Linked DNA regions of Notamacropus eugenii. The protein of the gene in region 1 purifies or fractionates together with the protein of each later gene. This does not show direct contact. Links are inferred from orthologs where the notes say so. Each region holds a gene or a part of one and is shown on either strand. Other genes may lie near its edges.

The links.
Region 2: the proteins of OTUD1 (region 1) and AIFM1 purify together in Homo sapiens (affinity purification with mass spectrometry; 3 studies listed by BioGRID, with this or other methods). This does not show direct contact. The link is inferred for Notamacropus eugenii from reciprocal best matches to the Homo sapiens genes OTUD1 and AIFM1.

The regions. Positions count from the first base shown.
Region 1 is NC_092874.1:64,222,263-64,233,123, reverse strand, and holds OTUD1 (OTU domain-containing protein 1), read right to left. Parts: upstream 4,969-10,861; 5' UTR 3,986-4,968; coding exon 2,756-3,985; 3' UTR 1,555-2,755; downstream 1-1,554. UniProt on the Homo sapiens protein: Deubiquitinating enzyme that specifically hydrolyzes 'Lys-63'-linked polyubiquitin to monoubiquitin.
Region 2 is NC_092879.1:51,897,275-51,908,008, reverse strand, and holds the start of AIFM1 (apoptosis-inducing factor 1, mitochondrial), read left to right. Parts: upstream 1-6,316; 5' UTR 6,317-6,529; coding exon 6,530-6,623; intron 6,624-10,734. UniProt on the Homo sapiens protein: Functions both as NADH oxidoreductase and as regulator of apoptosis.

The sequences.
Region 1 (10,861 bases):
GTTACTTAACTAGGAACACATACCCAGGAACACATACCCTTCTGGCAGGACTTAAGCTCTTTAAGGACAGGGACTGTAAATGACTAAGATTCAAATCAGGTAAGTTAATCAAATCAGATAACTTAATCAAATCAGATAACTAATCCATCTGGTGTGCTAGTATACTATAACAAAACATTTTGGCCTTGGGGAGTCCCATTACTTGGCTTTAAATCCTGCTTTAACACAGGGCATGAATAAGACACATAGCAGTTCTAAGGCTTAATTCCCTCATCTGAAAAATGGTCATGTAATTAATTTATAGAATTCTGAGTCTCAAAGGAGCTAATCTTCACTTTAAAAATACAAAATTCGACAAACGTCAGCTATGACATTAGAAAAAAATAAACTTTGCTAAGATTCAAGTTAGCATGAGGTAGAAATAGGAATATCAATATTAGACTAAGATTCCTCATACCCTACGTAGAATTTAACAGGAAATAATCTGGGGGAATAAGACACAAATGGAGCTTTCAATATCCCCTTGATTTACTGCAAAAGACACTACACTCATCCTTTTTCCTCCCAAATTACCCAATTATGCTTGATCTACTTCTTGGGCCAAAAAGCCAAAGACCTAATACAACCAAAATGACACATTAATCTTTATTTGACAGTAACATAATTCCTGATTTATGAAGGAATTTACTCAAACTCCAGTCTATAACTATGTACACACTGCAAAAACAAGTGAAAAAATATTAATTGCTGTGTCAAAACAGCTAGGTTGATTCCTTTTAAAAGGGATGAGTGGCTGGGGGGTAGAAGATATGAGGAAAAACTAATAACCAGTTGCTTCTGCAAAGCTTATTTTTGCTTATGTGTAGGTCAACCACGAATGAAACATTTCTAATAAAAGGTATTGATTATGAAAACCTGGAATGAATTAAAACCAGAAATTCCTTTAACTATAATTTTATAAAGTTAAAAATCTACACTCAAAAACCAAACCATTACACCAATTTACTCAAACTTATATACTTCCTCCACTGTTTTAGAATGCCAAAGAGGAATTAATGTTCTTATCTAGAATCTGCTAGATAAAAATATTTATATGTAAATAATGGAAGCAATTTCTTACTCTACTTGTAAATTATTTCCTTCCAAAACTTTTTTAATGACTTAATAGTTGCCCAATCCAGGTTACTATTAAAGAATTCAGTATTATTACATCATCTAAGAAAAATGTGACTTGTGAAAGGGAAATGAATCCACTCACAGAAATCATTTTAGAGAGGAGGCAGGCCCAGCCAGAGTAGTGGATCACAACTCAAGTCTCAGAATCTGGCAGACTTGAATTAAAAGTCCCTTCTCTAACAACATACAAAGGCTGTGTCCTATGATGTGGGCAAGTAACTTAACCTCGGTGCCCTTGAACAACTAACACCAAGCCTATAAATTGCAGAGCAGCTGTGAATTGCATTGGAAGACATTTCTTCAAAGAAAATTCTTATACCAATGAAATCACACATCAGTCCAAAAGAAAAAAAATAACTTCAAAATTTGCTACTAGGAGACAATATTAAAAGTATGCATTTATTCATTCCATTAGCTGAGAATAGTCCTATCATACAAATACAGTAAAAAGTCAAAAAAATCACAAAATATTACAAAATAAAAAAGTACAAACTGCATTACTTAATAAATATGACTAAAAGTAGTTAAAATTGGAAACGAGATAGCTTTTAAGTTGGAAACGTTTGACCCAGCAAACCATACAAGCTCTTTTCAGATAGCTTTACATAATACCGGACAATTCCATTTTTACCCTTGAAAGTATTTCAAAGGAACAAAGTACAAAGATAATATTCTCCTGCCACAATTTAACTGCTGTCAGGGGCATTTATACTGTTCATTTTAAAATCCCCAAGCTGAATCAGACACTTATTACAAAAGCAGAAGACTATTATCTTGTTACCACATTTTCTCCTATGTTAAAATCCTATTGTAACAAATGAAAAATAAATAAAACTGAGAGCACCAGACAATCAGAGGCCACTTTACACAGTAACCAAAGTACAGAATCACTATACCAATGAACATGGGAACTCAGTCAGTCAGAACAAACTTGTTCTGCCCTTTAGACAAAAATGTTTTTCCTCTACCTCATTTCCTTCCCCCCCATTTTTTTTTAAAGCTTTTCCTTTTCCTAAATAATCCAACGGTTTCCAATCAAGAAACTCTTCTCCTCGAGATGGAATGGATCAATTATCTGGTAACACCAATGACATCAATTTCATTTGAAAGAATAAATGTAAAGTTCAAATCCCATACAGCATAAAAGAACACAAACTCTGTACAAAATAAGCTTTATACAAAGTACTTCTCTGGGTCTCTGCCCAAAAGCCATTTGCCAAAATGAGACGTCATAAATGGAGGTACACCAATCTTAAAAAATATTGTGCAAAAATACATTTTTATAGAAAATAGATTACCAGGAATAAACAAATATACACTATGAGAAAATCAGCTTGCAAATAAAGTGGTGCTAACTTTATACAACAAATTATAAATAGCATTAAGACTACTCAAGGCTATCTATCATAAAACATCATTCAGGTGCGCTGCAACCTTCAGCTCTGGAAAAAAACCTGTCCCAACAAAGTGATTAAGGCCTCACACCTACAGTAACTCTAGTAAGTTTAGAAAGTGCTGTAACCCTGATCGGAGCCCGTGTCGATCCAAACGCCCGGGCGGGCGGCGCTCCGGCGGCCCCTCAGGAGCAGGCGTTCTGCTCGATGTACATTTTGGACAGGGAGATGGCCATGGAGCGGGCCAGCTCCTCGTCCCGCTTCCGCTGCACCTGGGTCTGCTTGCACCAGCTGTCGTACTCCGGGTTGGGGTACGAGTGGTCGAACACGGCGTCGTAGTGGCCGTTGCTGAGCCAGCTGAGCCAGATGCTAGGCCGGAGCGAGTCCTCGGGGCCCAGGTAGTGGATCATGGTGGACACCGTGGGGCTCTCCAGCCGGCCGCCCGTGGTGAGGTGGATGTTCACGTTGAGCATCTGCCCCATGGCCAGCAGCTCGGGGTAGCCGGCCCAGGCGCCGTCCTGCGCCGCGGCGATGATGAACTCGCCCACGTCGCCCTCGATCAGCGGCCCGAAGTGGTCCAGGTGGTCGGCGATGTAGTGCACGGTCTGCTCGCGCAGCTCGCGGTGCTGGCTCTGGTCGCCCGACACCGCCTTGCTCACGGCCCGGTACAGGCAGTTGCCGTCGGGGATGATGTGGAAGCGGTACTTGCTCCTCTGCCGCAGGTACTTGTCCTGCCGCTCCACCTCGGCCAGGTACAGGGCCAACTTCTCGTCCTTGGGGCCGGCGGCGCCGGGCGAGGGCGCGCGGCGGCCGGGGGGCTCGGGGGCCGCCTCGGCGCGGGCCCGGGGCGCGGGCGCGGCCGCCTCCCAGCGCCGGGGGCTGCCGTCGCGGGGCCTGGCGGCGGCCAGGGCCTGCTGGTGCTCGCTCAGACGGAAGTTTCGCTCGGGCCCGTCCGGCCGCGGGCCGGGCTCGGGGCCCGGCTTGAGCAGCTCCTCCAGCAGCCAGGCGGACGAGGAGCAGCGGCGCGGGGGCTCGGGCGGCCGGCGCTCGGGGCCCAGGCAGCGCACGCTCATCTGCGCCGTGCTGGTGTAGTGGGGTGGCGGCGGCGGGGGCGGCGGGGGCAGCGGCGGCTTGCACGAGCCTCCCGCCGCGGCGCCAGCAGGGGCGGCGGCGCCCGGAGGCACCATCTCGAAGCACGAGGAGAAGGCGGGCATCCCGGCGGCGGCGGCGGCCTCTCGGGACTCGGCTGCCGGAGGGGTGGCGGGTAGGCAGTCACCGCCGGCGGCCTCGGCGGCGGCGTCCGGAGCCTGCAAGGAGACCTTGAAGGGGGCGGCGGCCGCGGAGGGCGGGGAGGGGGCGGCGGCGGCGGGTCCCCCCGAGGGGTAGTGGCTGAAGCCCGGGCTGTAGAGCTGCATGGCCGCGCCGCGGCCGCTCCGGCCCCTTATAGGCGCGGCGAGCCCCCGGCGGGGGGACACGCCCTCCGGGCTCCAGGGGGCCGCGGCCCAGGCGGGTGAGCCACCGCCGCTAGAATAGAAATGACCCAACCACCATCCCGGGCCGGCCGCCCGCCGCTCGTCAGCGGCCGCAAATAGCGCCCGGGCCGGGCCCGCCAATTCCTGCTGCGCCACGGGGCGGGGGGCGGGGGCGCGCGGGTCACGGGGGCTGCGGCTGCAGCAGCGACGGCTGCGCCTCTCCCTTCCCCTCTACGCGCCCGGCCGCCGCTCCAGGAGGCAGAGGACTCCCGGGACAAGCCGCCCGCCCCGCTGGAGTGAGTCCCGGAGGCCGGGGAGAGAGAGTGTGTAGCAGGGACCGGGGAGGCGGGCGCCCCGCCCCCTCCCTCCGCCCAGAGCTTGTTTACCTCAGGCCGCGAGGCCTGGTCACGTGGGCACGCTGGAATGTGCGGATCGTTGCCGCGTCTCATTCACCCGCCCCGGAGGTCGCCCCGCCCACCGCCTCCTCCCGGATCCCGGCGCTCAGCGCGCGTCAGCTGAGCCTGTTCCCACTCCTCCCTTCCCCCGCCCCTCCCCTTCTCCCGCCGGGGGTGTGAGCGTTTGAGTCGGCCTGGTTCTTAATGGACTCTCGGGTCCCGGGATGCCAGGCGGCCACCCACGTGACTTCTGCTGGGCCTCCCCTCCCCCACCGCGGCTCCTTCCTGGGCTCCCGAGGACCCTCGGAAAGAGCTTCGCGTGTCAGAAAGCGCCGGCACGGCTGGCCGCTACGATGATTAGGAAAGCCATTCTGAATTATTATGAAAGCTTCCGCCATTTTTAAGTGATCCAATGTTAACTACATTTTTACGAAAGCCTTCCGTTATTTTTAAATTTTAGGTTACTAAATTTTGTTATTAAGCTATTTAATTTCATTAAGTGAAAAAGTTTATTTCCTGTTAAATTATCGTTAAAGACTTCCTTTATTCTAAGTTAGCAAAGGCTTCCGTTATTTGTCAATTTCAGGTATTATTCAGAGCCCCTTCCAGTCTTTCAGTGACTGTGCCCCCCCCATTTCTTTGGCTTTCCCTGTTCGCCCCATTTTTGATGAATTGTGGTCAGCCAGCATCCAATGCCCTGATGGGGCCGGATCCAGCATCGCAGGGTTCTGGTTCTGGTCCTGGTGCTGGCGCTGGCCTTGGGCAGACCCGTGGTCCCTTAGGCTGGCGAGGTCGGCCTTCCTCCCACTGACAGTCAGGCTCTAGATCTGTGATCTAGAACAGCCGCGGGGGGGGGGGGTAGACCCAGGACCCCCTTGGCACCATGTTCTCAGTCACGGACCTCCGGGGATTGTGTTGTATGAAGAGAGCTGGCAGGAACTGGCATTCGTGGCTTCGGGCATCCTCTGCCCGCGAGGCTCCCCAGTCCTGGCCCGCATCCGGCCCCTGGAGGAGAAGGTGGGCCGCTGACCCTGCCCACCCCTTCCTCACCCAGATCCAAGTCCCGGCAGCTCCCCGGTGCCCTCTCGGAAAGCAAAGGACCAGCCACGTAACACACACACTCCTTGGCACTCGGTGCTGGGCCCGGCGCGCAGCAGGCACTGAATGAAGGCTTACTGACGGGTTAACGAAGATGCACCAGACATCTGAGGCTCTTCCTTGGGGCGCAGGGGTGGGTTTAACCGGTCCTCTGTCACAAGTCAGAGCTTCCGTGTCCTCATCTGTCAAATGGGGCAGCTGGATGGCTCAGTAGGGAGAATGCTAGGCGTGGAGTCAGGAAGACCTGAGTGCAGCTATGTGACCCTGGACAAGTCACTTATTCCTGGTCACCTTCATTGGCTGGAAAAAGAAATGACAAACCTGCTGCATTGATCTTTGCCAAAAGTAAAAAAACAACAAACCATGGACAGTCTGATCCGCAGGGTCAGGAAGAGTTAGACACAGCTGACCAGCCAAAGGACGAAGTGAGACCATCCTCTAAGCTTCCTTACCTGTTTCAATCTGTGATCCATACACTGCAGCCCTAACCTCAGCCAACAGAATTGTCTCTTTCACTATCATTTTTGATAAAGGAAGATAAATTGCTTTGTTAAATTCCAGGTACCTTATACCACTCAATTCAACTCAAAAATATTAAGCTTCCTATAGCTAGACGCTGAGCAAAATGTGTCCATTCAATACTTCTGAAGATGTATCTGCTGTTCAGATCCCACCTCCCTATTTAAGGATTATTTTTATGCCCCCATGCTGGATTTAAAGTCCTTCACCGTTTGGTTCCAGCCTTCCTGCTCCTTGCCGCCGTGCATTCACATTTCAGCCAAGCTGGCCCACTTGGCTGTTTTCCAACCCAGTACTTTGTTTCTTGCCTGTGTCTCTTTTCTCAGTCTCACCTAAATCGTCGGACTCCAAATTCGTATAAATGTGAACTGTAGATATAGTAGTAACTCTATATTATAGTAGGTGCTCCATTGGTATATTCCTTGAATAGATTGAATAGGATAGGAAACCTTAACTTGGCCACAATCCGCAGAGAAGACACCAAGTTAAAAGGTCTTCATGCATAAATTATGGGTTTTAAGCTGAAAACAAATACATTGGACTCCTACTGTAGCACTTGGATTGTTTTGGGAAATTAAGACCAACTGTTTTAATAATCTATCAGTTTGCAAAATTTTCTCATGGTATCTATATGGTGGTATATGCACTCTTAAAAAAATATGTAGAGAATCTACTTAAGATTCCTTCCACATCAACAGTGAAAACAGCTTTATTAAATACCCTCCATTGTGTGGTGGTGTCAATGGCCTAGAAAGGCTTAGAATGCCTTCTACTGCAGCCTTTCAGCAGCTGCATTCCAAAGCAGATAACCTGCAAGAAGTCAGGCCATCTCCACATAATGCTGGCTAAGAAAGGAAGAGACAAAAGCAATCAATCCCCTGCCCGCAAAGAGGGCACATTCTTAATTTTTAATTATTATTTATTTGTTTTCAGTTTTCAATATCACATAAGTTTTGACTTTAAACTTTCTTCCCCTCCTTCTCCAAGACATCATGCCATCTTCTATGGGTTCTACACATACATTCTTATTAAACACATTTTCGTATTAGTCATGTTGGATAGAAAAATTAAAACGAATGGGAAAAACTATGAGAAAAACCAAACCAAAACAAAACACAAGAGAAAATAGTCTGCTTCATTCTGCATTCCAATTCCATAGTTCTTTCTCTGGATGTTGATGACATTTTGCATCAAAAGTCCTTTGGGAATGTTTTAGGTCCTTGAATTGTTGTGGAGGGCTAAGTCTATCAGAAATAGTCCTTGAATACTACTGTGATGGTGACTGTGTATAATGTTCTTCTGGTTCTGCTCATTTCACTCAGCATCAGTTCATATAAATCTTCCCAGGTTTTTCTGAAGTTCACCCGTTCATCATTTCTTATAGCACAATGGTATTCCATTATATTCATATACCACAAATTGTTCAGCCATTCCCCAACTGATAGGCATCCCCCCGATTTTCAGTTCTTGGCCATTACAAAAAGCTGCTAAAAATATTTTTGTACATGTGGGTCCTTTTCCCATTTATGATCTCTTTGGGATACAGCCATAGAAGCAATATTGCTGGTTCAAAGGGTATGCACATTTTTATAGCCCTTTGGGCATAGTAAGAAGGGTGCATTCTAATGGCAAAGACAAAATAAAAATAACTAGATACAAACCAAAAATATACAGAACACACAGAAGGTAATCAGACAGGAGAAGACATTAGCAGCTGAAAGAACTGAGACAGGCTTACAGAAGTTGGGGATGAAGCCAAGCCTTGATGGAAGGAAAAGGACTCAAGTGGTGGACATGAGGAGGAACTGCATTCCAGGCATAGGGAACAGTGGGTACGAAGGCACAGCCACAGTAGATATCAAGTCATAAAAAGAACAGTAGCCTGGCTGGACTGTGGAGTGTGAGAGAAGAAGCATTTCTATGGTACCTGCTATGTGCCAGGCCCTGTGCTAAGCACTTTACAGAAATGATCTCATTTAATCTCCCAACAGCCCTTTGAGGTAGGTGGTATTATCCCCATTTTACATTGGGGGAAGCTGAGGCAAACAAAGGTTAAGTGACTTGCCCAGAGTCACACAGCTAGTAAATATCTGAGGCCAGATTTGAATTGTGCTACCAGCTGCCTGTGTAAGGTATAGGGTATTAGGTATAAGAAAGATGGGAACATAAGAAAAGGACTAGTTGTGAAGAACTTTAAATGCTGGACTTATTTGATCCTGTAGTCAATAGGGAACCACTTTGGAGGGTCAGGGGTGACTTGGTCAAACTTCTGCTTTAGAAAAATCTATTCAGCTATTGTGCTATCAGAAATGACCAGCAGGATGTTTGTAGAAAAACCTCTGAAGACTTGTATAAATTGATGCAGAGTGAGGGGAGCAGAACCAGAACACTGTACACAGTTAACCATGATCAGCTGTGGAAGACTTAGCTACTGTGATCAAAACAATGGTCCAAGATAATTCCAAAGGACCTGTGATGAAACACACTATCCACCTCCAGAAAAAGAACTGATGAACTCTGAGTGCAGATTGAAATATACATTGTTCATTTTATTTTTTTTGTTTTTTTTTTTAACAACATGGCTAATGTGGAAATGTTTTTCATGACTTCATGCATGTAATGGTTGATGCTGTATGACTTGTATTGCTTGAATTCTCAATAGGTAGAGGAATGAATGTTAAAAATAAATAATCTTTAAAAAGAAAAGGAAAATCCAACCAACATTTATTAAGCACCTACATGCGAGGCTAATCTTGAGTTATGAAGACAAAAATGAACCAGTCCCTGCCCTCAGAGAGCTCATATTCCAGAGAAGGAATTATTAAATCTGATTTAATCCTATTAAAGCAAATTTGTGTAAAATGTTATTAACCACTTAGTAATGTGCATCAACATTATCTGTGAAGAATTACTAGGTTGCCAAGAAATAGATAAAATCTCAAGTTAAGGCAAAAGCACAGGATATACATTAAGGGTATGTGCCCCATTTTCTCCATTTCACTCCCCTAGAGCATTGATGGTAAATTTGTGAACTATGTCAAGTCAACAAACATTTATTAAGTCCCTCTCTATGTGTTAGGTACTGAACTAAGTGCTAAGGATACAAAGAACAGCAAAAACTATCCTTGTTCTCTAGGAACTCAGAGTCTACTGTGGGTACCTGGTACCTGGCACATACATGAGGATGTGTAACAGAAACAATTTGGAGAGGCTTTCAAGCATTCATAGACATGATTCGAGGAAGCCTTGCTTTTGATTGAGTCAATTGAAAAATGTTCTTACCTAACAACGATAATTACTCTTAAGTTGAATGTGTGTTCATCCCTCGTTGCCAAAGAAGACCATGTCATCAAAGAAATAATGACATGACTTGCACTTGACTTTGTTTTGAGTGAGGGAGGGCTGTGCAGGTCACCAGCCTCACTTCTCCTCCAGAGCCATCTAAATCCAGTGACCAGATATTCATCAGGATGACTGGAGATGACCCAGGATGAGGCAATTGGAGTTAAGTGATTTGCCCAAGGTCACACAGCTAGTGAGTATCCAATGTCTGAGGTGAGATTTGAACTCACGTCCTCCTGACTCCTGCACTGGTGTTCTATCCACTGCACCACCTAGCTGCCCCTAAGTTGAATGAGATAATTAATGGAACCTCACCCGTACATGAAAATATTAACCCATGGCAGCTGAGACCCATAGCTGAGTCTTGGGAGCTGGGGGGATAGGGAGCAGGTGGTGAGAATCATAGATTTAGGGCTGTAAAGGATCTTAAAGGTATGTAGTCTAACCCCCTCAAACAAATGTAGAAACTGAGGCCCAGAAAAATTAAGTGACTTGCCTAAGGTTATATGATCAGCAAGTAAAATGGCCAAAATTTTTACCAGGTCCTTTGACTTCAAATCTTGTGAATATTCCATGATGTCTGACATTCCTTCTCTTAAGACACCCCCTTAGATATTCTGGGGGCCCCCTCTTTTAGAACTTCTCTCCTCTCTTTTGATTCTTTTATGGCTCACTGTTAGAGAAGCTTATCATGCCCTTCTTGGGACACACTGGAGCACACAATATACAATGACTGAGGTATGGGTATGTATATGACCGCCCAGTTGACCAGCATTTATTAATAGCACCTACTTTGTGCCAAGCACTGTGTTAAGTGCTTTATGAATTGGGAAGTAGGTGTTATTATTATCCCCATTTTACAGATGAGGAAACTGAGGCAGGCAGAGGCTAAATGACTTACCAAGGGTCAAACTCTGGTGTCACAAAGCTAATAAGTGTCTTAGGAGGGATTTGAACTCAAGTTTTGCTGACTCCGGGTCCTTCTCCATCCACTATATCCAACCTAGCTACCAGATATTCCACTATGTGCATGAGGATTCAAGGAATAGTCAAAAAAAAAGTCTGCTCTCAAGGAGGTGTGTTCTGAAGTCTAACGAGAGACTACATGCAAACAATTATACAGATAGGTATATAGAGTACAAACTGGGAGTAGTCTCAAAGGAAAGGCAATAAGATTAAAAAAGGCTGGAAAAGGATTCTGGTAGAAAATATATGCATACATATGTAGAATACATATGTTTGTATATGGTGGGTGTATGTGTGTGTATATATATATATATATGTATATACATATTCTACATTCGCGTGTATCATACATATATATCCAAAAACATAAGCATGTATATATTAGAATTAATTATGTAAGATTATTGTTTAGTTAATTTTTGAAGAATCAGTTTGTACTAGATGCCTTCATCCTCTGATCTCCAGTATATTTGGTAACATTGCCCAAATGGAAGTATTA
Region 2 (10,734 bases), on another chromosome or scaffold:
AGACGGATAGCAGAATGGATTAAAAGCCATAATCCAACAATATGCTGCTTACAAGAAACACATTTGAAACGGGGGGATACACATAGGATAAAGGTCAAAGGATGGAGCAGAATATATTGTGCTTCAGCTCATGTAAGAAAGGCAGGAGTAGCAATCCTAATCTCAGACAAAGCAAAAGCAGAAATAGATCTAATCAAAAGGGATAAGGATGGAAACTATATCCTACTAAAAGGCACCATAGACAATGAAGCAATATCATTACTAAACATGTATGCTCCAAGTGGTATAGCATCCAGATTCTTAGAGGAGAGGTTGGGGGAGTTGAAGGAAGAAATTGATAGCAAAACTATACTAGTGGGGGACCTCAACCTCCCCCTCTCTGAACTAGATAAATCCAACCTTAAAATAAACAAGAAAGAGGTTAAGGAGGTAAATAAAACTCTGGATAAGGTAGATATGATAGATCTTTGGAGAAAATTAAATGGGAATAGAAAGGAATATACCTTTTTCTCAGCGGTACATGGAACATTTACAAAAATTGACCATGTACTAGGACATAAAAATCTCACAATCCAGTGCAGAAAGGTAGAGATAATCAATGCATCCTTTTCAGATCATAATGCATTAAAAATTACATGTAATAAAAGGCCATGGAAAGAGAAACCAAAAATCAATTGGAAACTAAATAATCTAATTCTAAAGAAGGATTGGGTTAAAGAAGAAATCATAGAAACAATCAACAACTTCATTCAAGAGAATGACAACAGTGAGACAACGTACCAAAACTTATGGGACACTGCAAAAGCAGTTATTAGGGGAAGTTTTATATCTCTGAATGCTTACATAAATAAAATAGAGAAAGAGGAGATCAATGACTTAGGCTTGCAGTTGAAAAAGCTAGAAAAAGAACAAATTGAAAATCCCCAAGTAAATACCAAATTAGAAATACTGAAAACCAAAGGAGAGATTAATAAAATTGAAATAAAGAAAACTATTGAATTAATAAATAAAACCAATAGTTGGTTTTATGAAAAAACTAATAAAATTGATAAACCTTTGGTTAATCTGATCAAAAAAAAGAAAGAAGAAAACCAAATTACTAACATTAAAAATGAAAGGGGTGAACTCACCTCCAATGAGGAGGAAATTAAAACAATAATTAGAAACTACTTTGCCCAACTTTATGCCCACAAATTCGACAATCTAAACGAGATGGATGAATATTTTAAAAAATACAAATTGCCCAGATTAACAGAAGAGGAAGTTGAATACTTAAACAACCCCATCTCAGAAAAAGAAATTGAACAAGCCATCAATGAACTCCCTAGGAAAAAATCTCCAGGGCCAGATGGATTCACAAGTGAATTCTATCAAACATTTAAAGAACAGTTAATTCCAATACTACATACACTATTCTTGAAAATTGGGGAAGAAGGAGTCCTCCCAAATTCTTTCTATGATACAAATATGGTTTTGATACCCAAACCAGGAAGAGACAAAACAGAGAAAGAAAATTATAGACCAATTTCCCTAATGAATATAGATGCAAAAATTTTAAATAAGATTTTAGCAAAACGAATACAGCATCTTATCACGAGATTAATACATTATGATCAGGTAGGATTCATACCAGGACTACAGGGCTGGTTCAATATTAGGAAAACTATTAGCATTATCGATCACATCAACAACAAAGCTAACAAAAACCACATGATTATCTCAATAGATGCAGAAAAAGCTTTTGACAAAATACAACATCCATTCCTACTAAAAACATTGGAGAACGTAGGAATAAAGGGAACTTTCCATAAAATAATAAGCAGTATCTATCTAAAACCTTCAGCAAGCATTATATGCAATGGGGATAAGCTAGATGCATTCCCAATAAGATCAGGGGTGAAACAAGGTTGTCCATTATCACCACTATTATTCAATATGGTACTAGAAATGTTAGCTGTAGCAATTAGACAAGATAAAGATATTCAAGGAATTAGAATAGCCAAAGAAGAAACTAAGTTATCACTCTTTGCAGATGATATGATGATTTACCTAGAGAATCCCAGAGATTCAAGTAAAAAATTACTTGAATTAATAAACAACTTTGGCAAAGTTGCAGGGTACAAAATAAACCCACACAAATCCTCTGCATTCCTATATATTAGCAACAAAGTTCAACAGCAAGAGATAGAAAGAGAAATCCCATTTAAAGTTAGGGTAGACAGTATAAAATACTTAGGAGTCTACCTGCCAAAACAAACCCAGGGACTATATGAACACAATTACAAGACACTTTTTGCACAAATAAAGTCAGATTTAAGTAAGTGGAAAAAGATTAGTTGCTCATGGGTAGGCCGTGCTAATATAATAAAAATGACAATTCTACCCAAATTAATATACTTATTTAGTGCCATACCAATTAAACTATCAGACAATTACTTTCTAGAGCTGGATAAAATAATATCAAAATTCATTTGGAAAAACAAAAGGTCCAGAATATCAAAGGGACTAATGAAAAGAAATGCTTGGGAAGGTGGCCTAGCACTACCAGACCTTAAACTGTACTATAAAGCAGCAATTATCAAAACCACTTGGTATTGGCTAAGAAACAGAGAGGTAGACAAGTGGAATAGACTTGGCACTGAAGATGCAGTAGGCAAGGAATATAGCAACCTTCTGTTTGATAAACCCAAGGACCCCAGCTTCTGGGATAAGAACTCATTGTTTGACAAAAATTGCTGGGAAAACTGGATAACAGTGTGGCGGAAATTAGGCATAGACCCATACCTGACACCGTACACAAGAATAAAGTCCAAATGGGTACATGATTTAGGTATAAAGATTGATACCATGAATAAACTGGAGAAGCAAGGAATAGTGTATTTATCAGATCTATGGAGAAGGGAAGAATTCTTTACTAAAGGAGAGATAGAATGCATTATGAAATGCAAAATGGATAACTTTGAGTACATTAAACTGAGAAGTTTTTGCACAACCAAACCCAATGCAACCAAAATCCGGAGGGATGTAGTAAATTGGGAAAAAATTTTTACAGCTAAGCTCGGGGATAAAGGCCTCATTTCTAGAATATATAGAGAACTGACCCAAATGTATAATCATACAAGTCATTCCCCAATTGATAAATGGTCAAAGGATATGAACAGGCAATTTTCAGAGGAAGAAATTAAAGCTATCTATAATCATATGAAAAAATGCTCTAAATCACTATTGGTTAGAGAGATGCAAATCAAAACAACTCTGAGGTACCACATCACACCTATAAGATTGGCAAACATGACAGAACAAGAAAATGATAAATGCTGGAGAGGATGTGGGAGAGTTGGAACACTAATTCATTGTTGGTGGAGCTGCGAGCGCATCCAACCATTCTGGAGAGCAATTTGGAACTATGCCCAAAGGGCTACAAAAATGTGCATACCCTTTGACCCAGCAATATCGCTACTAGGACTGTATCCCCAAGAGATCATAAAAATGGGAAAGGGTCCCACATGTACAAAAATATGTATAGCAGCACTCTATGTAGTTGCCAAAAACTGGAAGTCAAGGGGATGTCCATCAATTGGGGAATGGCTGAATAAATTATGGTATATGAATGTAATGGAGTACTATTGTGCCATAAGAAATGATGAACAAGAAGACTTCAGAGAGGCCTGGAAGGACTTATATGACCTGATGCTGAGTGAAAGGAGCAGAACCAGGAGAACTTTATGCACAGCAACAACCACAGTGTGTGAGAGTTTTTTCTGGTAGACTTAGATTTTTGTAATAACACAAGAACTCCTGAAAAAAAAAAAAATCCCAATGGTGGACCTCAAGGCAAAATGCCTTCCACACTCAGAGAGAGAAATATGGAAGTCACTCACATAATGTAGCAGATCATGTTTGTGTATGTGTATCTGTCTGTGTATCATGTTCTGATTTGTTATACGGATTCTCTCATTTATCTTAGTCTGACTACATAGCATGACTATAGTGAAAATATACTCAATAGGAAAGTATATGTAGAATCTATACAGAATTGTATGCAGTCGTGGGGAGGGAGGGAGTTAGTGGGGGGTGGGTGGGGAGGGATAAAATCGCAATTGTATGGCAGTGATTGTTAAACATTAAAAAAATAAAAAAATTATAAAAAAAAAAAAAAGAAAAAAGGAATGGTATTTTAATAGGCAAATAACATTTTAGTAGGGGCAGCTAGGTGGTGCAGTGGATAGAGCACCAGTGTAGGAGTCAGGAGGATCTGAGTTCAAATCTCACCTCAGACACTTGACACTCACTAGCTATGTGACCTTGGGCAAGTCACTTAATCCCAATTGCCTCATCCTGGGTCATCTCTAGTCATCCTGATGAATATCTGGTCACTGAATTTAGATGGCTCTGAAGTGAGGAGAAGGGAGGCTGGTGACGTGCACAGCCCTCCCTCACTTAAAACAAAGTCAAGAGCAAGTCATGTCATTATTTTTCTGATGGCATGGTCTTCTTCCACAACGAAGGATGAACACACACACACAAGATTTTAGTATTTATTATGAAAATGGTTTTGATCTCAAGGACCATCTGAAAGGGTTTAGGGGACCACCAGGGGTTGGTGGACCACATTCTGAAAACCACTCATCTAGTTAATTTGCATGGGTTGGGAAAAAACCCCAACATTTCTCAAATCCATATCATGTAAAAATAAGCAGTGTCTACTCTCCAATAACACAGAGGTATACCAATCATCTGTGATCCCTTGGGTCTCACAGTGTCAAGGTGATTATTCTCAGTAAAAAAGTACATGTCACAAATATATAGAAGTCAGTGCAGAATACTTTGTATAGCAGTCTCTAGGGTTAGGGTACATTGCCTATGAACTAACCCCATGGATACAACCTGTCTGGTAGGATAAACCTTCACAGATAAAGTCTGTGACTATGGAGCAGAGGAAAGAAAGCTACCTGACCAAAAGATAGAATCCATAATTTTGTTGAAAGATATTCTAGCATTATCCATTCAAGAAACTAAGCACATACCTACTATGTACGAGGGACCAGAAGGCATTGTAGCGTGATTTACTTTGATACTGGCTCTATAGTCAGAGAACCTACTTCAAATTCAGTCTTTAATGTTTTAGTACCTATGTCACCTTGGCCATCATCCGTGGGCCTGTGTCCTACTCTATAAAATATAAGAGTTGGACTAGAATCTAGTACTTGGGTACAACCGTTTGAGTGAGTCCAAGTTTTACAAAACAAAGCCTTTTACTAAGGGGATTTGTTCTGTGAAGTTTGGATTCAGCCAAAGGGCTGCAGTTGAAGACCTGGAAGGCCAGCTGTGGCCTTGAGGCCACAGATTCCCCACCCCTGGACTAGATGGTGTCTAAGGATCTTTCCAACTTTAGACTGAAGTAAAGAATACAAAGATAAAATGCATGGTCCATGTCCTTAGGATGTTAAAAATCTAATTGTGGAGACATGAAGTCCATTCCTAAAATGTTTAAATAGTGAAACTTACTTGTAATATTTGTAATTTTCTTTATTTTCTGTGGAGCTCCAAAGACCAGTTTCCCAATTTTGCTTATATTTCAAGTGCCTGAAATATTAATTTCCGCTCAGTCCCTCTCATTCTACAGTTCTGAAAATACAGCCAAGGGAAGTCAACTTATCGATGTGCTGGTGCTCTCAACTCCATTGGCGGCCCCAATGCCAGGAGAGGGTGGGAGCATAGGATCATAGAGTCAGGGACCTTGAAGTAATCATAGCGGCCAACCTCATTTGACCTAGAGGGAAACTGAGGTTCAGAGAAGGCAAGGGACTTGCACAAGGTAGTAATAGAGCCAGTAACAGGCACAGCAGGATGACACCTTCATTAAAGGAAAACCCTAAGTTCTGGAAGAGGGAAAAGGCCGGAGGGCCAGAGGTCCAACATGCCAAGGTCACCAAAGGCCTCGGGAGCCCAGGAGGGCTCTGACCTGTGAAGAAGCCAGTCAGAGTTGTTACCATAGAGCCTGGGTGTCCACTGGCGGAACCAGGCGGGCCCCCGGATCTGTCAAGTCCCGCCACCGCCGCTGCAACTGAACCGGGCAACTGAACTGGAGTGAACAGCCGTACTAAGAAGGAGGAACTGGTAGTCCCAAACTAAAGAAATAGGTACCGAACTATGCCCTGAGAACGCCACCCTAGAACATTACCGCCCCGGGCCAGAGTACTGAAACGTGCACATGCGCGAGGTGGCTCCGCTTCCTCAGCCAATGGTTGCACAGCACTAGGAACAACGCAGCTCTCATTCCCTTTCACTATCCAGTGGCCAATTGGAGGGCAGCGTCTGCGCAGGCGGTTCCATCGGTCCAATGAGAATGCGTCTCTAGGGAGACCCCGCCTGCGAGGTGGGCTGGGATGGAATAGAGTGGCACTTGGAGGCGGACTGTGGTTAACGGGTCAGTAGCTGGGTGAGAAAGCCGAAAAGGGGAGGCGGCGGGTCGGCCGCAGTCGCAGTTGGTCCGGGACTTCCCGTCGTCGTTGTCGTTGTCGTAGTCATGTTACGATGTGGAAGCACCGCCGTGGCTGGGTTGGCGCCTTTGGTACGGACTTTCAGCGTCCGTGGCCCGAAGCAGAGGAGCCGGCTTCCAGGTAAGTTAGTTCCCTGACGCTCCCGTTGCAGTTCTCTACCCCTCCTCTCCCCCCACCCGTCGGACCCTGACCGTGATCCCAGGGAACCCCCTGCACGGCCCGCGTCTCTCCCCCCCTTCCCCCCCCCCCCCCCCCCGCAGGCAAACCCCTTCCGCACGCTCACTCGCGCCTTTTTTGGGAGCGCTCCAAACTCTTGAGGCAGGACTCGCCGGCCTGACCTTCAGAGGCATCACCTTCCACCCCCATCCCCCTAGCTGACAGGCTGCTGGCTAGAATCCCTGCAGCCCAGCCCCTGCAGTCCGGGGTGGCCTTCTGGCTAACACCCCCTCCCAACCCTATGCCTTTCCTTCCCGGGGCTCCAAGCGGGCTTCTGGGGACCCACGTGTGCTAAGTACTACTTAAACCAGCTAGGCCCCGGGGGGAGACTGGAAGATGAATCAGAAAAAAGTTCTAGCTCTAGCCCTTGGAGAGTCTGTCAAGTAGGGGAGATCAGTAAGACTCGACCCCAGAGAATGGATAATAGAGGGCAGAAAGCAGGAAGCTCCAGGACAAAAAAAAAGTGGCGCAAAAAAAGTACTGAGACTTTAAAAGAGAGAGGAATGTTTTCTGATCGGGTGGGAGCTGAGAATACTAAATGGAAGGAGGTGGCATTTTACCTGATTCCCGAAGAGAAGGAATAAAATTTCAACTAGGTAACAGGAAGGGAATTTCAGAAATATTGGACTGTGAAAGTTTGGAAGTCTAATGGAAAAAACCCTGGAACTCTGCCATTTATTATAGATGTGACTTAAGCCATTTAATAATAGTCTTTTCCTCAGTTTCTTCATCTGTAACAGACATATCATCTACTTTACCTATCTTAAAGTCGAGAACATAGATGTGAAAACACTTTCACAATTCAAAAGTCCTGTCTGTGTCAAGTATCATTGAAACAACTGTAAATATAAATCATGAAATAAATACCACAAGAGCTGGGAGGGCAGGCCAAAAGTGAATTGAAAAATAGGGTCTGGTGTGACTTTGTGGTTATCTTTAATGCCAATTTTAGAGTTGTTTTTTAACCAATGCATAAGGTGCCTTCTCAGTATTAGAAAGTAAATAATGTGGTTCAATGGTCTGTTCAGCCTAATATTCTTCTCTGATGCTGGGAAAGTAGGATATTTGCCCTTCATGAAGTTGACCTCAAAAAGTTAACAGTGGTGTCCTATCAGAAGCAGTAGCCTGAGATTTTAAAGACCTAGGTTCTACTCCTGGTTCTGCTACTGATACTAGCTGTGTAACCTTAGGTAAATCATTCTGGGCCTCAGTTTAATCTTTTGGAAAATAAAAGATTTATATTAAATCTATTAAAAGTCCCTTCCAACTCAGAATGCTATAATCAAACACCCCTAAATTCCTGCCTTACTAGTCCATCATGCATATGCCATCCATGAATTTATCAGAACATTTCATGAATTTTACTTACACACACACATACACCCCATGACCTCTTGTGTACCCTGTGACCTCTTCTGGTAGTAAGTTACCAGTTTTTAGGAGATACAATTAATCTTTCTTTTAGAGGTCTTCTTCAGTTCTTGCTAATATCAATAGTGACATGAAAATGTTTGCCTAAGTTTTTGCACCATTTTCCTGGAGCCATTGACTCAAGAGTGCTTCTTGAATGAAGTTTTAGTATCTTGAGTGATCTTACACTTCGAATCTTAACACCTCTGTTGTCAGGAACTTTAAAAACATTGTTTTTTAGGGCAGTTAGGTGGTACAGTGGATAGAACACTAGCTTGGAGTCAGGAGGACAGGAGTTCAAATTTGGTCTCTGACACTCATGTTTATTAACTGTGTGACTGTGACCGAGGGCAAGTCACTTAACCCTGACTTCAGGTGCGGCAATAAAAAAGGATTGTTTTTTGACAGATATCCTGGTTTCCAGACATCTCTGTTGTCTGCACGCCAAAATTATGGTACTATCCATAGGCAAGTTACACAACATTCTTAGACGGAATGTATAACCTTTTTGCCCTTTCGTAACTTTGACCTCCAACTTAAAACATCATTGCTTTGGTCTGTGGAATTGAACATTTCATGGGAAAATGCCTTCTTAATACATACTTATTGCTTATGCTATTATCTTCACTTACTTAGATTTGAAAGCATTTAGTGATGTTAGTGCTGAAAGGAATTGGCTAGTTTTATTTTGCCTTCATTAGTAACTTGTTCAGAGATGGGCTGCTGTATTACTACTTCTGGTTTCTTGACTATTTGCTCCTTCTTCGTAGATTTATATAATTCATAGAATCTCAGAGGTGGAATTGATCTCCAACACCATATAATTTAACTCATACCTAAGAAGACTCCCCTCTAAAACATACCCCATAAATGGCCATCCAACCTTTAAGCCCTCTAGTGAAAGAGAACTTTCCAAGGCAGTTCATCTCACATTTGGACATACCTCTGATAGGAAACTTTTCTTTACATCAAAAAGGAGTCTGCCTCTTTGTAAATAAGTCTGACCCAGCTTTTCACATGGCAGCCTCTCTAATAAATACTTGAAGACAATTCTTCTCCCACCCCAGTCATCTTTTCTCCAAGCTAAACAGCTCCTTCAACTGATCCTTACTTAATAGCATAATCCTCAAGTAGCATGGCCTTTCTTGGTTACCTTCCTCTGCATGAGCTTGAGCTTCTCTGTGACCTTCCTGAAGTGTGGAGCTCCAAACTGAACACAATACTCCAAATCTCCTCCCTCCCTCTGTACACTCTTCTCTGCATTTGGCCTAAGATAGATCTCATTTGTTTTGGGAGTTACTTCACTCTATGGATTCATATTGATTGACCTTGCTGGTGTGCTGAAGCCCCCAGAATCTTTTGTCTACTGTCTTGTATTTTGCGCTTGATTTTTAAAAAACAAATGTAGCGTTAATTTATCCCCATTAGATTTCACTCATCCTTACAGCCTATTAAAATCTTTTTGGATCCTGACTTTTTTTTAAAGATTTCTCCCAAGTTTTTTTTTTAATCATTTGCAAATTGGATGAGCCTGTTCTCTTTCCAAAATTTCATAAAACAAACCATTGATGTAAAAGTTCTTTGGTCTCCAAAAGACACTATAGTAGACCATTATTACAAACACTCTTGTCCCCAAGTAAACTCTTTCACCGTAATGTTTTTCTTAATTTCTATTATTACCAATAATTCACATTTTGGTGTTGCTTTAATATTTACAGAGAGCTTTTCTCAGAGGAACCCTGTGAGGTTAGTATAAATGTTCCCATTTTACAGAGGAGGAAACCAAGCCTTTTTCTACTGATAAGACACTAGAGTATGTAAACACTGAATCTCATTGTTGGGAAGGGACTTTAAAAGGCAGTCTCTTCCAAGGTCTACATGAATAGGAATTCCTTCTACAGAGTTTCTAGTAGATCTTATAGCTTCCACTTGGAGACTTCCAGCGAGAGAGAATGCCTGACTTTGCAAGATAGCCAGTTCCACTTTTGGACAGCTTGAAATGTTGGGAAAGTTTTCTCTACATCAAGGAGATTTTGCCTCTCTCCAACATTGTTCCTAATTTTGTCTCTAGGGCCAAACAAAAAAAATCTTAGCCTTCATTCAAATGAAACACTTGAAGGCAGCAGTCCTGTTCCTTATCCTGCTCAGGTAGTAAATTTTACTGCATATTTTTGGTGAGAGACTTGCTTTTTCCATAGAGTAGTCTTTTTCCTTGATCAACATTGGGCTAAGATTCAAAACACAGACTGTCCTTTCGCCTTGCTTTTAGACCTTGGGTGAACCTGGCCTCTGTTGTTACTTGAAATGATTATAATCATAACTGATATTTTAATAGTGCTCTTTACCATTTTTCTCATGGTTTCTCCCATTCATTTTAATTCTTCCATGCAACATGACTAATGTGAAAATGTGTTTAATAAGAATGTATGTGTAGAACCCATTTAAGATTGCATGCCTTCTCGGGGAGGGAGGGGGGCAAAAAATCTAAGACTTATGGAAGTGATTGTACAAAACTGAAAACAAATAAATGTTTTTAAAAATAGTGTTCTTTCCCTCTTACTAACATTAGGTCGATTTAAGGTATATTAATGCTAAAGCAAGTCTT